Danio rerio: one gene and its partner. The protein of the gene in region 1 interacts with the protein of each later gene in a pairwise test. Links are inferred from orthologs where the notes say so. Each region holds a gene or a part of one and is shown on either strand. Other genes may lie near its edges.

Region 1 (8,653 bases):
TCAGCAAGATAAACTTAAACATTTATTGGTAAAGTAAAACTACAAGCCTCACTTGTAACACCAAACAACTTCCCTGCTTTTTACTCAGTGAGAAATGAGTTACAACCTTTATACATTTAAAGAAAAAATGTGTGAAGGCTTAAACTTATTAATTATTTTAGAGTAGCCTAATTTGTTTCCACACTGGCAGAGCTCAGCTGTAATAAAAACAAAACGCTATTGGCAGTTTTTTTTAAAGGGGAGGAGTTACATTATGCCCCGCCGTTTCCTCATGTTTCATCAGATCATCAAATATAAATGCTCTGATGTAATTATGTAAATATAAATCTTAATACTACATAAACAGCCTTCCTCCTCATTGTTGTAGGTTTCTTTAGAAATTGAAAACGAGCATCTCTTCAGGTGCATGTACAGTAGATACCGGTACTTTAATGGAGGATCATGCTGAGTTCAAGCTCGTGATGCAGTTATTTATTTTACCCATCTAGCATATTTGGTGAAGAAGCTTTTGAAATGTTTACAATACTTATTCAGGTTTCCTACAAAACAGATGAGAAATATTTTATATCAAATTCTGTGAAGTTCAAGTAGGCCTAAATAGCCTTGGGTGCACAAAGAGTTTAGAAATTATGAAAAAGGTTTAAAGTTCAGCAAGATAAACTTACAACCCGAAAGATTGAAGTAGTATATGAAATGTTTCAATGTATGAAATCCTTCATCAGTCACCCAGTACTGCCCCATATATATCTGTGTATCTATCTATATATATATAAATAAAAAAAATATAGATATTTTTATTATTAAAAATTTTCATCAGCAATTTCATTAAGAATTTTTCTGCTGCAGTTTTTACCTGTTGCTCCTGTTTACTGTAGGTTCTGTTCAGCAATATATTTGTTATCATAGGCCTTTATCAGTATTTTTAAAGGTTACTAATGGTCCATTTACCTTCAGCAGTTTCCTTTTTTAAATTCTGACTGTAGTTTGGTTTAATAAAGTTTAATTTCATCTTAGTGTTAAGCCATTGCTAAATATTTTGCTAAAATAAATAAGTGTTTTGGTTAAGTCTTAGATGTAATTTCAAATAATTAAAACAAATTAAAACTAAAATTAAAGTGTCCCCTCAACCCTGATATGGTCTTCAACCCCTTCATTGTATTCTCAACCCTGTGAAATTAATATTTTTTGGAAAATAAAATAAGGAAAACAATTAAATATGGAAAACATTCTTGCTGAGTACCAACCACCATGTAAAGGCCTAACACTGTAAATATGTGGTTTGGGTAAGACATCTAAATATAAAAGATTTTTAGAAAAATTAAGAGACCACAGAATTCATAAATTGTATAGTTGTAAGTTAAATCACATATAAATCTAAAACTTATCAAAAATATTATGTTTTAGTCATTACAGTGATTTGAGGGACATATGAGCAATAGGTAAATTTTGGTTTGATAGCAAAAGCTTTGTAAAATACTATTATTAACAACTCAGTTTTGTCCGTAATGGGGTTGAGAATTATAGGTGTCCAAATAAGAATAAAACTGAAAATAATATGAAAGCTGTAATGCCTGAGGGAAATTTTTGAAAGTTTAAATTGTGCCTAATTATGTAGGCTATTTAAAATATAATCAACAGACTTATAAAAATGAGTTTGTTCAAGCTGAAATATTACCAAATGCCAGAAATTACCCATATATATATATATATATATATATATATATATATATATATATATATATATATATATATATATATATATATATATATATATTCATTTTCTTTTCGGCTTAGTTACTTTATTAATCCGGGGTGACCACAGCGAAATAAACCGCCAACTTATCCAGCACGTTTTTATGCAGCGGATGCCCTTCCAGCCGCAACGCATCTCTGGGAAACTATATATATATATAAAACAATGTATATATGTGTGTGTGTGTCTGTGTGTATGTGTGTGCTTATTTATAACAAAAACAGCGATAGGCTACGTCAACGCACGGTACACAATGTATTGATGCCGACGGTGTCATGTAGTTCTACTATAGAAATATTTGAGTGTTTTAGATGTTATTATGTTATATTTTATTGTATAATATTATATGGATATTTTGTTAAGTCATTTCAAGATTTACATGTATGAATATTATCTGACGATCACGCTACCCACAATCTGAAAGTGAAAACAAAAGTGAAAAGGTAGCAAGTTGAGGAGGGGGTGGCTGTTCGCGGATATAACTTAGGACGCAGGTGGTGAGGGAGGTGTCGCGGCTGCCTAGGTAGCCTCTATAGATGAGCCGGCCCTGTACTCACCCAAAACGTTTCATTCATGCTTCAAAGTTATTGGGTCAGTAATTTGGTCATATGGGCTCAAAAACTTTTTTGGTCAAAATGTAGTTGTTTTTTACCATGACAGTCGACGGTCAGATACACATATGGCTACATTTTGTCTTTAAAACAAATGCTACGGGGTGGTGTGACAACGTTCTTGCTAAGCAGCTGATCGCATACAGCCTTTTCTGCTGTTACCAGTTTGCCCAGTAGCTTGACGCATTCGTCGATGGACTTGAGATGCAGAGAGGAGTTGACCATGATGATGGAGTTTGAATCCAGCAAAGAATGGTTCCTGAAGACAAAAACAGAAGCCAAAAAAATTAAATAAACATGTAAAGAATGTGGAAAAATCTGAAAATGCAGTAAAAATTTGACGAGGGCTTTTTTTTCTGGATTGCTTTTTAAAACACTGCAAGTTGGGTTTAGGGAAGGTGTTGGGCTGGTCAGTTGCTGCTTTTGAAAACACTATTGGTTGAGTATAGGGAAGGTGGGTCAGTTGATCGGTCAGTCAGTCAGTCAGTCAGTCACTCTTTAATATTTTGTGATCAACAAAGACACAAGAAACTAGAATTGTTTGCTTGATAAATGTATGCACAGTATGTTTGTCTGTCATTGTGACTCAAATTTTATGATGAATTGCAGCAGAAAAATATTTTATTCTAAAGAGTTCACAAAAACGTGACACGGTGGCGCAGTAGGTAATGCTGTCACCTCACAGCAAGAAGGCTGCTGGTTCGAGCCTCGGCTGGGTCAGTTGGTGTTTCAGTGTGGAGTTTGCATGTTCTCCCTGCGTTCACGTGGGTTATCTCAGGGCACTCTGGTTTCCCCAACAGTCCAAAGACATGCTGTATAGGTGAATTGGGTAGGCTAAAATGTCCGTAGTGTATGAGTGTGAATGGATGTTTTCCAGAGATGGGTTGCGGCTGGAAGGGCATCCGCTGCGTGAAACACATGCTGGATAAGTTGGGAGTTCATGCCACTGTGGTGACCCCAAATTAATAAAGGGACTAAAAGGAAAGTCAAAAAGAAAATGAGCGAATGAATGAAATCACAAACTTTCCTGCCACTACACACAGACACAGGGTTAGCTTTTGTGAATTGTGGGAACATTTGATATTATTCTATTGTTTTCCATTGGTCAAGTAACTATTATTGTTTACACTATACAAGCTGTATTTTCTATTGCCCCAACCCTATTCTGAATTGAAAAAATTGACATTAGCAATGTCCTCATAATTCACAGTCTCTTTGTAATACCCGTGTCATACCCATGTCATTATACACGTTTGTCCGAATATCTCTCTCTCTCTCTCTCCTTTCTTTCTCTTTCTCTCTCTCTCTCACACACACACACACACACAAACACGCGCACAAACACACACACACACACACACACGCAGTTTCCTTACTCTCCAAGGTTATTTTAGCAAACGAAAACGTAAACTTAGACTAAAACAAAAAACATTGGTCAAAAAGCATTTTGATTAACTGAAATAAAACTAAGAAATCATAGTTGGCAAACAAAAACAATTCATCCATTAATTTTCCTTCAGCTCAGCCTATTCCCTTTATTTATCAGGGGAACCGCCAACTATTCCAGCATATGTTTAACACAGCGGAAGTCCTTCCAGTTGCAACCCATCACAGGGAAACACCCATGCACACTCACATTTACACGGCCAATTTAGTTTATTCAACTCACCTATATGTGTGTGACTGTGAACTGTGGGGGAAACCGGAGCACCCGGAACCCACGCCACTGCACGCCCAGTTCCATTACTCCATTCCAGTCGGTGGCGGCAAAGTTCAGTTGCCTACAGCCATTAACAACCAAAGAAGAAAAAGAAAAAGAAGAAGCGGGCAATCAGAATATTTACAACCCCAATTATTGAAGGTATATTGAACGCGCGTTTCCATGTTTAAATGCCTATTATTTTAGTCTTATACGCGGATATACGTTTGTGTAAACATTCAGGAGGGAATTTGTCAGGTGTAAGTGGAGAGTTTTTTTTAAATGTATTTGTGTAAATGCTGGAGTTGTGAAGGATTTACAGTGAAACAGAGTGAAGATGAGCATCACTCCAGCAGATCTGAGTCCTGCTTCATCCTCAGACCACAGGGAGAAACTGCAGGAGCTGCTGACCGCTGTCCGAGACCTGCACGACACCGCACTGCAAGGTAAATAACCTGAGTGGAGTATAAATAATTACATAACAACTAGTTACTTAGTTAATTACATTACTTGTATGCTAAAAATGTAATTTAAGCAATTACTTTGAAATATAGGTAATTATTGTTAGCCTACTTAATTGAGGTAAAGTTGGTTTTATATTCTCTCAATATAGACAATCTCTCTATATTGTTTACCATGGTATTTGACTATTCGGTCTGAAACCACTTGTAAATATCACTTAAAGACAATATACACAATTACCACAACATTGTTTATGAACAAGATAGTCAAATGGCTTTGTCTTCTTTATGACAGTTCACTCTTTACATTACATCCAATGCAATAAAGTCAGATTTTGGTGACATTTGCTGAAAATGCTTTGGACAGAACTATACACTATTTGCACAGCCATTTGAAAACTACAGTAAAGTTAGACATCTCTGCATTTATTGAGGTATCTGAGTACAAGACACTGAATATGTGTGTTTTACATTTTTACTGCATAATCTTGCAATTTTAATTTATTCACATCGTTGCGCTGAAGAATAAATACACACAAATTTACAACAAACCTAATCTCCCTTTGGGTAGAGCTGTGCACACCTGTAAACAATATTGCAGAACATATTGGAACTGAACCTACAACATAGAGGTCTTTAAATAATTCATCAAATCATTCAATTTACAAGAAATTTTCAGAAAAAAAAAAGATTTTATAAAATTTGCTTGAGAGATTTGGACAGCTAGTTTAACATTTTTGTATGTAAAGAATAAAAGAGTAATAAGTAATAAAAGAGGACTATTAGTTTTATATGGAGTGACTATTCAGCATTCACAAGTTCAGTTAATTTGAACTGACATGACATAAACAAATGATAATGTTATAAACAGCAGAGAGTTGTATAAAAGCAATTGATACACGTCAGAAAGCATTTGCAATTTGTTAGACGGAATAAGAAACTGCTGCTATGATGTGCACAAATGACAAAATGTTTTGAGAAATGCAGTTACTGTTGATCGACTGAGAAAAACTGTATTGTGGATTCTGTTTTTCTGATTTGATAACTTTTATAATAAAAATAGATTGTCAAATAACTTATTAAAATATTTTTCTTTTCTCTGACAACATACATGTTTCTCATTTTCAGAATTACAAGCAAAAATAGCTAAACTGAAGAAAGAGCGCTGTCTGTAAGTCCACGTCGTATACAGTGTACATGCAAATATATTTAAAAATGTATATAAATCAGTTTGAGAGTCATTAAAGCATGAATAAATATTTGTGATGATCATTAAACATGCTTAAGCTATTTTGAAAAACCTTTTTTAATCTGTAATCTGTAATGCCACATATCCTATTTGACTGTATTATTATTATTATTAATAATAATAATATTGTGTCTCTTTTCTCAGAGATGCTCAGAAATTGAGTGAATTTCACAGCAAGAATCAACATTTACGAGAGCAACAGAAGATCCAGCAGGAGAAGATCAGACAGCTGGAGGACAGGTGCTCACAAGCAAACCTATTGATCATGTTTTTTATGCATTTATCCTGAATTCGGAGCTCAGTTTTAGTCACTGTGTTATTTTTTTAGGTTGCGTTCTGGACCATGCGATCGCTGCACTGTGAAAGAGAAGCAGATTAAAAAGACAAACACTGAGCTTGAAGATAATAATCAGAGAAATCTGTCTGTCATCTCTGAGCTTGGTGAGTATTTTTGGTGACTATTTCTTTTTCAGTGGTGTTATTAAAGCATATTTTATTGGACTGTGCTGTCTTTAATGTAAATAGATGATGGTTTAGTTTCAGAGGTTTGAACTTATTTACTGTGTCCAGCTTAGATAAATGCACTCTAACAGATTGATCGCTGAAAAATATTCATCTTGCTTTTAAAATAATACTTTCAGCGAGATCTTAAACAGTAAGATATTTGATCAAATATCATTTATTGGTTTATTGTGAGATAAGTCAATACAAAGGGAGAACTGAAACCATTCGAACAACATAATTTGCAATTTATAGTTCAAAATGAACTAGACTCCAATGAATGTTACAAAAAATCTGAAATAAATTGCAATAAATAAAAAAATGAAGGAGGCCATATAAAATAAATGTTTTTTCGTTTTTGTTTGGCTAGTTGTAATTATTTTTAAGAGTGGAAATTATTAAAAAAAACATAACTAGCTATTATGATGCTGCAAGCATTAATACACCCCTATATATATGTTAATTAGAAAATTTTTAATAAATTATAATTAACAAGAAAAATTAAAGAAGCCATACAAAACTTTATATATATAAGGAAATTTTCACAGTATGTCTGATAATATTTTTTCCTCTAGAGAAAGTCTTATTTGTTTTATTTCGACTACAATAAAAGCAGTTTTTAATTTTTAAAAAAGCATTTTATGGTCAATTTTATTAGCCCCTTTAAGCTGTATTTCTTTTTGATTGTATAAACCATCGTTATACAATTACTTGCTTTATTACCCTAACCTGCCTAGTTAACCTAATTAACCAAGTTAAGCCTTTAAATGTCACTCTAAGCTGTATAGAAGTGTCTTGAAAAATATCTAGTAAATTATTATTTACTGTCATCATGGCAAAGATACAAGAAATCTGTTATTAGAAATAAGTTATTAAAACTATTCTGTTTAGAAATGTGTTGAAAAAAATCTTCTCTCTGTTAAACAAAAATTGGGGAAAAAATAAACAGTCGAGGTCAAAATTTATAAATAAAATCATAAATAATTCATAAGAAATGTGTATGTGTATGTAAGTCAGAATTATTAGCCCCCCTGAATTATTAGCGCCCCTGTTTATTTTTTTCCCCTATTTCTGTTTAATGGAGGGAAGATTGTTTCAGCACATTTCTAAGCATAATAGTTTTAAAAAACCTATTTCTAATAACTGATTTATTTTATTTTTGCCATGATGACAGTAAATATTATTTGACTAGATATTTTTTAAGACACTTTTATACAGCTTAAAGTGACATTTAAAGGCTTAACTAGGTTAATTAGGTTAACTAGGCAGGTTAGGGTAATTAGGCAAGTTATTGTATAACGATGGTTTGTTCTGTAGACTATCGAAAAAAAATAGCTTAAAGAGGCTAATAATTTTGTCCCAAAAATAGTTACATTCAAAAAAAAAAAAAAAAAAAAAAATATATATATATATATATATATATATATATATATATATATATATATATATATAATGTCTTTTGGAAATTGTGCATTTGGAATTTGTAATTTAGATGGAATTTTGTAAGAATTGAGTGTTAAAAAAATGGATATAAATAGTTTTTACTTTAAGTTGTCTGAAACTCATCTGTATCTACTAGGGTTGGATGATACATCGGTGGCCATATCAATATCAGCAAACCTGATTTTAATGTTATCTCGATTGGTCTAATAACAAAATTAGGTTTTTATTTGTGCTGTTTTTATGCTTTATTTTTGCTGGTTTTGCCTTGTTGTAAATGTTACTGTTCTGAAGTTAAAGTTTTAAAATAAAATCAGTTGTTCTCTGTAAGTGTTTGATTTTTGTTTTTGCAATCATGCATAACAATTATGGATATAGATATTATTTGTCTGCTATTTTTGTTAATAATATATTGGCTATCTGTTTCAAATCAAATTTACGTTATCAGTTATCAGGTCAAAAATTCCATACCAGTGCAGCTCTCGTCTCATCCAGCCTATCAGTATCAACCCAAAAATCTTCTTCAATGTGTGTGTTTAGAGGCTGAGAGGAAAACTCTGACAGATGAAAACAGGAGACTGAGTCTTGAACTGGAGCGACTCAGGAGGTCTGGGTGAGTCTCAGAGTTGAAGAAAACATGATGAAATACTGAGCACTGGTGACATTCATCATCATATGACCGTCTGTTTTGAGTGTGTGTTTAGTTCTCCACAGAACACGTCCTCTGAGGCTGAGGAGGGAATGATCCCAGACTCTCCTCTCCGGCCGCTGTCTTTACCCGTTGCCAGCAAGATGAAACGCCGGAAAGAGCAGAACCACGTCCGATACACTGAGACACCGCTATCACTCTCACACCCCGGTTAGTCACTCCAGAGAAGTTTAATCAGAATCAGTTTTATTGCCAAGTGTGCTTCACACACACAAGGAATAACACAAGAA
Region 2 (8,092 bases), on another chromosome or scaffold:
AGTTGTGTATCGCAGGACCACGGTGAATAAGCATAATCATAAATATAGACATAACACTGGAAGTAAGAGCAATATTAAGTCTCTACGTAACTAACACACCGGAGCGGTACTCTAACTGTACATATATTATGAATACTTAGACTATACACACAACCTAAGACTGACTATACAAGTACTTTTGCGTAAGACGGAATACTGTTGTGCAAGATACTGTTCATACGGGGTATTTTAATGTTGAGAAAATCAAGTAGTGAAACTTGATTGTGTGGTACATTCACAAGTAAACATTGTTTTCCTTATTAAGACCTTCTAAGATTAAGTAAAGTGTAATATGCATATAGAGAGAAGAGTGTTTCCACAAGTGGTTTGTCAAGCACACTTTAGAAATGCACAATGTTTTTCAAGAGGTATGGAGGGATTGTAAGAAAGTGAATGAAAGTGAGTCATGTCTTTGCAGCAGATGGCATATAACATACACGTAACACTATGAATCCAGCAAAAAAAATTCTGTCAGGTAAAATTAAATTCAGCTAAATACTCTTAAATGTCTTCTGTCTTAAAAAAAACATAAAAATATGGAAAAGAAATAGTGATTTGAAACTGATCTTGTAGTAATTAGATTTTTGCTATAACTGTATTTGAATCAAGACTTTTATGGGTGAATTTTCATTTAACAAATGCAGTCATACACCCTAACAATTTTTACAATTTAGTCTTATTTATTCTATACTTTTATTGCTAGTATATGAATACTATTTGTAGATATATGTCTAATTTTGACTGCTTTTGCTAAAAATCTCTGACTTATAGTTCCAGCTGATCTCATGACATGAATTCTGCTTTATTTCAGGTAATTTCCACATGATCGGAGATGATTTGGTCAACTCCTATCACCTCCTCCTCTGCTGTCTGGACCTGGTGTTTTGCAACGCTCTCATGTGCTCCAACAGGAAAGATCTCATCAATCAGAATTTCAGAGGTAAAGGTCACCTTTTATTCATCTCAGAAAATATGTTTGCTTGACTGATTGAGAAGACAGACAAAATTACAAGTGAATCCATTGATTGCATTAAATATATTTGAGTGTTTTAAAGCATGCCTGTGTTGTTTTGATTTACACTCTTCAGCGATTCTGAATTTAGTGTCTTTCCCTCACCGTAATATTGCATTGTGTTTGCTTTGTGTCTGAAAAAACAGGTAAACACTTCACTGAACATCTGTTTTTCACCTTTCTGTAGGCCTGCCGAAAGACACAGAAAACCTGAAAGAGATGCCCTGTGTCATTGACAAGTTGTGTGAACTGCATGATGGGTTGGTGGTGGAGGCCAAAGGCATAAAGGAGCACTACTTCAAGCCCTACATAAAGACCCTGTTTGAGAAAAGAGTGAGGAATATATACGCACTTTGACACCCAAAACAAAAACAGCACAATTCCATATATGACTGCATGCTTTGTAGAAAAAAAATTTAATTACAGTTTTTCTTTTCAAAATGACGATTTGCGATTACTTCTGTTTCATAAAAGAACTACAGTTTAATGTGGTGGTTTTAGCAGAGCCACAGAAATACTAAACATAATTAAAAAAAAAACTACAGTATCCTAAATTAAATAAATTAAATATAAAATTTTAAACTTTAAAGAATTTAAACAATGTAAACAATTGTACATCATTAAAACACTGGTGATAACTAGGGCCAGACAGAATTTGTTGATGTTTTTTGGCTATTTCTGCTGAGAACTTTGTAAAAAAATTTGTGGATTTATGCAGAATTATTTTGAGAGTATCATAACTAAAAACATTAAAAAAAACATAAAAAAAATAATATATATATTTTTTTTTTCATTTTCAAAGTCCTTTTATTCCTTTTATACAGAGGAATGAACTGCCAACTTATCCGGCATATGTTTTACGCAGCGGATGCCCTTCCAACTGCAACCCATTACTGGGAAACATCCATACACACATACTCTGCGGACAATTTTTATCCCAATTTACCTATAGCGCATGTCTTTGGACTGTGGTGGAAACCGGAGCACCCGGAGGAAACCTACGCGATCAATGGGAGAACATGCAAACTCCACACAGAAACGCCAGCTGACCTAGCTGAGACTCAGCAACCTTCTTTCTGTGAGGTGATCATGCTACCCATAGCGCCATCGTGCAGCCCATATATATATATATATATATATATATATATATATATATATATTTTTTTTTTTTTAATATAATTAATTGAATTATAAATGCGCGGTAAGAGTCGTGCACGTAATATATTCAGATATCATAGCTGATCTGTGATAAATGCCGTTGTGGAAAGTCACTCTACAGACACACTCGTGTCAGGGTTAACAAGTATCCCTTTAATAGCGATAGAGGAAAGGAAATTTATGTACTGTCATCATTGCAAAGATAAAATAAATCAGTTATTGGAAATGAGTTAAAACTTTTTTGTTTTAAAATGTTTTGAAAAAAAATCTCTCCAAAATTTGGTGAAAAATAAATGGGGACTAAAATTTCAGGGGGGCTAATAATTCTAATTTCAGCTCTCTCTCTCTCTATATATATATATATATATATATATATATATATATATATATATATATGTATATGTATATACCTTTTAACTTTTATTTAATGTTTACAATGCAAATCCAATATGATCCACTTATTTGTTAAACAGAAAGTCGCTCATATAGTATACTAAATACACAAAATATAACTTTACAAACTGTTTTGTAACTAAATTATATGAACATTTTCATGTTAGTCAATAATATTAATGAAATGAATGTTTATTTAGTTTTTAAACTTAATTTACTTACATTTACACTATGAATTGACTGAATGATGGGCTAAAAAATCTGCGGAAATCTGCAGATTTCTGCATGTGCAGATTTCGTGTGGACCTAGCGATAACCTACATTACTGTGGACAACCTATATAACAACGACAGCAAATGTTTTTGCCTTTTAAACTGCAAAGAACATGAATTCTAAACCAAAGGGTCAACAAGAAAAGCTGCACTTCTAGATTATGTTACTTTTTTACATTGTTCAGGGTAATGTGCTTACCAACTGTCAGAACTGTCAAAAATTTTATGTTTCTTATTTATTAGTGCATTGAAATAAACACTGCTTTTGGGATTTGAAATTTTTATTTTTTTATATAGTGATTTCGTTTTAGAAATGTCTAATTGTGCAGGCCTAATTCTATATTTATAGCTTTTGTTTTACCTCCTTATATTCCCAGATGTTAAAAGGTGATGTTGAAACTCTGACTGAATTACTGGACACTCCAAATTTCCAAGATAACAAGTACGCACATTCAATTTCTGAACACATTGCTTTTCCATGCAAAACGTTGTATGCAATTAAATGCTTTTGAAAACATTTTTGTCTTTTCAGTAAAGCCATAAATCGTGATTATGAGGAGTTTGTTTTGACTGTGGGGGATTTTGATGAGCGAGTGTTTTTGGGGGCTGATGCAGACGAGGAGATCGGCACACCGCGCAAATCCACCGCTGAACCTCCTTCAGGTCATCTCTCTGCCCGCATGCAGGTGGAGAACAACCTTCAGCAGCACTTTGAGAAGGTATGAAGAAAAGTAGTTAGATTAACAGTCACTGTAATTACAGTATTTATTAGGGGTGTGATGAGATGCTTACTCCAGGAGACAAGATTGGTTTCAAGAGAACAAAACAAGATTTTGGCAGTATTTTAAAGAAATCTTGAATGATAAAATATATGAATGGAAAATAGTCTTTTATTCAACTGAAAAAAAATCACAAAATGCAAAACCATATAGGTGCTTTTTTAAATCAACTTGTAATGAATGTTATTTTAATGACTTCTGTGCAGTAAAGGACATGCCAACACTGCAAAATATGTTGCTAATATTTGAATGGAGAGTAGTCTTTTTATACATGACTATTTAGGTGCTTTTTAAAGGTGCTGTATGTAAGTTTTTGACTTTTCTAAAGCATAAAAATACCATAATATGTTTGCAGGTATTTAAGAAACATGCTAAGTGAACATAATTGTTTATCTGAAAAACAATGAATTCAGATATTCTACTTTAAAATTGTGAGTTACGTGCAGGATTGTCTGTCTTTGTTTTGTTCATTTATCCCGCCCAATGCCAGTTTAGCCAAATATATTTCAGCACCCTGGGTTGCTTTAGCGCAAAACCATGTTTTTCATTCATTTATTTATTCATTCAATCTGGAAGCCTCAATACCCATGACAAGCTCAGAACTACTGGATACAATTATAAATTAAGTACTGATAGGAGAGAGTTGTTTTAAAGTGACTTGATACCGCATGAATGAAAAGATAACTTCTTTTCCCGGACAGTATAAAGCTGTGTTCGCTGATGATGCGACAAGCCTCTAGGAGTTCCCCGTTTGTGTGTGCGCACAGAGATGTGTGTGTCTGGTCCTTTAGTGACTCAGTAGATGGAGGGAATTAATGTTAAAGTTCATTTAAAGTTAGAGAATTTAAAGTTAGAGTTAAACAGCTGTGTATGCATGGCTTATTCTGTTGCAAAATGCAGCTAAAAGTCCTACACGATGGTAATAGTTTAATCAAGGTGTTGACATGTCTGTACTGCACAGCAGTAATGTGACTGAAATAGGAATACTTTACGGCTTAACATGTCAGCTGTAGCCTCTGCTCAGACCGCAACCTTCGATGGAAAAAAAAAAAAAAGGTTACGTCACACCCGCCCAAGCAAATGAGTGACACGCAACATCGAGGCAGCCCTGGTTGCCAGGTGTGTGCAAAGCACTTGAATTGCGGTTCATATCCAAACCTGCCTCCAATCTTCAATGCTAATTTCACCCTCACGCTCCATCATAACATAACTCACGAGACAACTTAACACCTCTACGAGAAATCTTAACGGGATTTAATCTTGTGATACCACGTGATATGGGACCTCATTACACCCCTACTATATATATATATATATATATATATATATATATTTGCATCTTCTTCCTGTTTGTGTGCAGACGCGTTCCCTTGCTCCCTCTACTCCTCTAACGGGTCGACGGTATTTAAAGGAGAAGGAAGTGCTGGTCACGCCTGTTTCTTCAGCCACCCAAAGTGTGAGTCGACTGCAAAGCATGGTGTCTGGTCTCCGAAACGCACCGAGCGACGCTCTGCTTCAGATATTTATGTAAGTGTTTGCTAAAACCAAAACATGCACTTATAGTTTTAGATTTGGTTTTCTTGCATTCCTTTTTTTAAACTTGTTTTTGTGTCAGATGTGGACACAAATGTGTATTATGACACAGGAGACTGTGAATTATGAGGACATTGCTGATGTTTACATTTTTCAAAAGGTTTAGAAATCATACAGAATGAGCTTTTTCAGAAAGTAAAACTGCACATTTTTTTTGTAAAGCGTGGGGTTGGGGAAGTGCCATCTCAAATACAGTTTGTACAGTATAAAAACAATAGAAACCTATGGAATATCCCCACAATTCACAATAATAAACCTTTACGTCTATTTAACCATTCTTCATTTTCTGTTCAAATAGTTCCTGTTCTCGAAACCCCACTGAATCCATTCTGAATCGGGTGAAAACCTTGGGGGAAAAGTTCAAACAGGCCTACACTAATCCCACAGATGACCTGCCGGGAGCACATATGGGTCAGATTTACTGCCGTCTAAAATGATTGGTCATTATGAAAGCATTATGTGTGATCATGTAAATAAGTGCAGGCTCTTGTGTGTAGACTTTGCAGAGAAACGTCTGAAGCTGGCCGAGATCTTGTACTTTAAGATCCTGGAGAATGTAATGACTCAAGAGATGAAGAGATTACAAGGCAAAGACTGGGCAGTAAGTCACATTATTAATATTATATTTGATATATGCTTGATGCATGTGATAAATGTGTTTGTAAATGTAGCTTTTCCACTTCTGCTTTTTTTTTTTTTTTCTTTATTCAAAGAGGAATCGGTTATATGGAACAACATGCCTTGCAGTAATGTCTTATTTTAAAGCTCTCGCTGTCTGCTTTGGTGCAAGATTGTAAGCTCTTCCTCTCTTACGTCTTTTTCTCAATCAGGTCCTGTTGGAGCAGGAGGTGCTCCATTGCTCTCTTTTGGCCTGCTGTCTGGAGGTGGTGCTGTTCTCATACAGCTCGCAAAGAACTTTCCCCTGGATACTGGAAATCTTTCAGATCCCACCTTTCTACTTTTACAAGGTACAGAACATTGTCAGTATGGAGGATTAAACCTGCAAAAACAATACATAAATCCACAAATTCCTGTATGCGTAAATATATAAAGAATTAATAGTGCGGGCAGATAAATAATTAAATTGCACTTTTGTTAGGGGAATAAGAAAATGCTAAACTGAGTTGATCCTCCCTCCTGCAAATGTGTATTCCTTTTAGAACGTAGTTCCACGTTTACTTTTCCTGAGCTCAACATGCTAATGAGAGAGTGTATTATCAATCTTCAGAAGGTGGGCTTTATGCCATTATGATTGATTGTTAAAAAAATCTTGTTCACTTTTTTTTTTGTCGCTGATGATGATATATAGACACCGTCTCATTAGCTTGTTGAGCTGGAAAAGTAAGGAACTATGTCCAAAAATGAATACACATTTGAAAGGGGAGAAAACTTTGTTTATTTTTTTTTTCTTAAATGTATCTGCCCACACTATTAATTATTTCTATACTTATCAGAATCAGAATTGGTTTTATTGAAACGTGTGCTTACACACACAAGGAAATTGTTTTGGCTACAGAGGCTTCATGTGTATGCAATGTGACAAGTTTTTTATTTATGCAGGAATTATATATATATATATATATATATATATATATATATATATATATATATATATATATATATATATATATATATATATATATATATAAATATATATAATAGATGTCAATATTTAATGACCGAAGGTCTTTGTCAGTATCGATAAAAAAAAAAATTTGGTAGGTAGTTTCGTATGAAGCGATATAGTTTTATTAAATGCAGCTGCTGAGCGAGCGCCATGCTGTATGTATTTAAATAATGATGGCTGGTTCCTTTACTTAAAAGCTCAAATTTGATTATCATTATTTGTGTTGTTGACAGAGTTTGAGGTTTACTGTATTATTATTATTCACAGCTTAAAGTTTGCTTTGATCGTTCAGCGTTTACACTTTACCATTGCACACACTTTGTAACATTTTATTTATTAAGATTAAGAGTCTCCTTAACACGTTTATTTTATTATAAAGAGATCAGATATTTTGTTTAAATAATTTAGTTTTTGTCTATCAAAACTATTTGCCTCAGTAATGTTGGTAAAATAAAATAAAGTGATTTAAATAAATAAAAAAATCCTAATATTCCTAAATGGACTGTAAAACATATATTTAGTAATTATCAAAATCGAATGATATGAAATGTGATATCGTGATTTAATTTTTTTTGTTGAAATATTGTCCAACTATATATATATATATATATATATATATATATATATATATATATATATATATATATATATATATATATATATATATATATATATATATATATATATATATATAATTATAATTATATTATTTTATTTATTTGATTATTTATCTTCATATTTATTTGTGTATTTTTTATTTATTTATTTGATTATCTATTTACTTATTTGCGTATTTATTTGATTATTTGCATATTTATTTATTTGTGACATTTGTGGATTTATTTATTTGCACAATTATTTTTATTTGTCACCTGCATATTTTAGTACATTGTAGTTTTTTTTTTTTTTTTTTTTTTTAATAGCTTTGGTTGTTGTTAGTGCACTATTGCATCTCGTTGCAGTAGATATAGATATGTCTCTAGAATAAAGATCACAATCTGTTTAGTGCTTAAAAGAAATGCTGAAATGCTTAAATAAACATGTAAATAATAAATGTAATAAATGTAATAAATAAATGTAAATAAACATGTGTTTGTGTAGGTGATTGAGGTGTTCATCCGCTCAGAGGAGGGTTTATCCAGAGACATGGTGAAGCATTTGAACAGTATAGAGGAACAGGTGCTGGAAAGCAGAGCGTGGACAAGAGATTCAGCCCTGT

Evidence for each region. The genes of interacting proteins can lie anywhere in the genome.
Region 2: the proteins of rbbp8 (region 1) and rbl1 interact in a two-hybrid assay, tested with the Homo sapiens proteins (2 studies listed by BioGRID and IntAct). The link is inferred for Danio rerio from reciprocal best matches to the Homo sapiens genes RBBP8 and RBL1.

The regions. Positions count from the first base shown.
Region 1 is NC_133199.1:39,942,081-39,950,733, forward strand, and holds the start of rbbp8 (DNA endonuclease RBBP8), read left to right. Parts: upstream 1-4,163; 5' UTR 4,164-4,225; exon of another isoform or gene 4,226-4,368; 5' UTR 4,369-4,400; coding exon 4,401-4,509; intron 4,510-5,652; coding exon 5,653-5,695; intron 5,696-5,917; coding exon 5,918-6,013; intron 6,014-6,101; coding exon 6,102-6,214; intron 6,215-8,254; coding exon 8,255-8,327; intron 8,328-8,418; coding exon 8,419-8,573; intron 8,574-8,653. UniProt on the Homo sapiens protein: Endonuclease that cooperates with the MRE11-RAD50-NBN (MRN) complex in DNA-end resection, the first step of double-strand break (DSB) repair through the homologous recombination (HR) pathway.
Region 2 is NC_133181.1:54,210,091-54,218,182, reverse strand, and holds part of rbl1 (retinoblastoma-like protein 1), read left to right. Parts: intron 1-850; coding exon 851-979; intron 980-1,238; coding exon 1,239-1,384; intron 1,385-3,251; coding exon 3,252-3,316; intron 3,317-3,406; coding exon 3,407-3,593; intron 3,594-5,013; coding exon 5,014-5,180; intron 5,181-5,544; coding exon 5,545-5,657; intron 5,658-5,743; coding exon 5,744-5,847; intron 5,848-6,076; coding exon 6,077-6,214; intron 6,215-7,974; coding exon 7,975-8,092. UniProt on the Homo sapiens protein: Key regulator of entry into cell division. Directly involved in heterochromatin formation by maintaining overall chromatin structure and, in particular, that of constitutive heterochromatin by stabilizing histone methylation.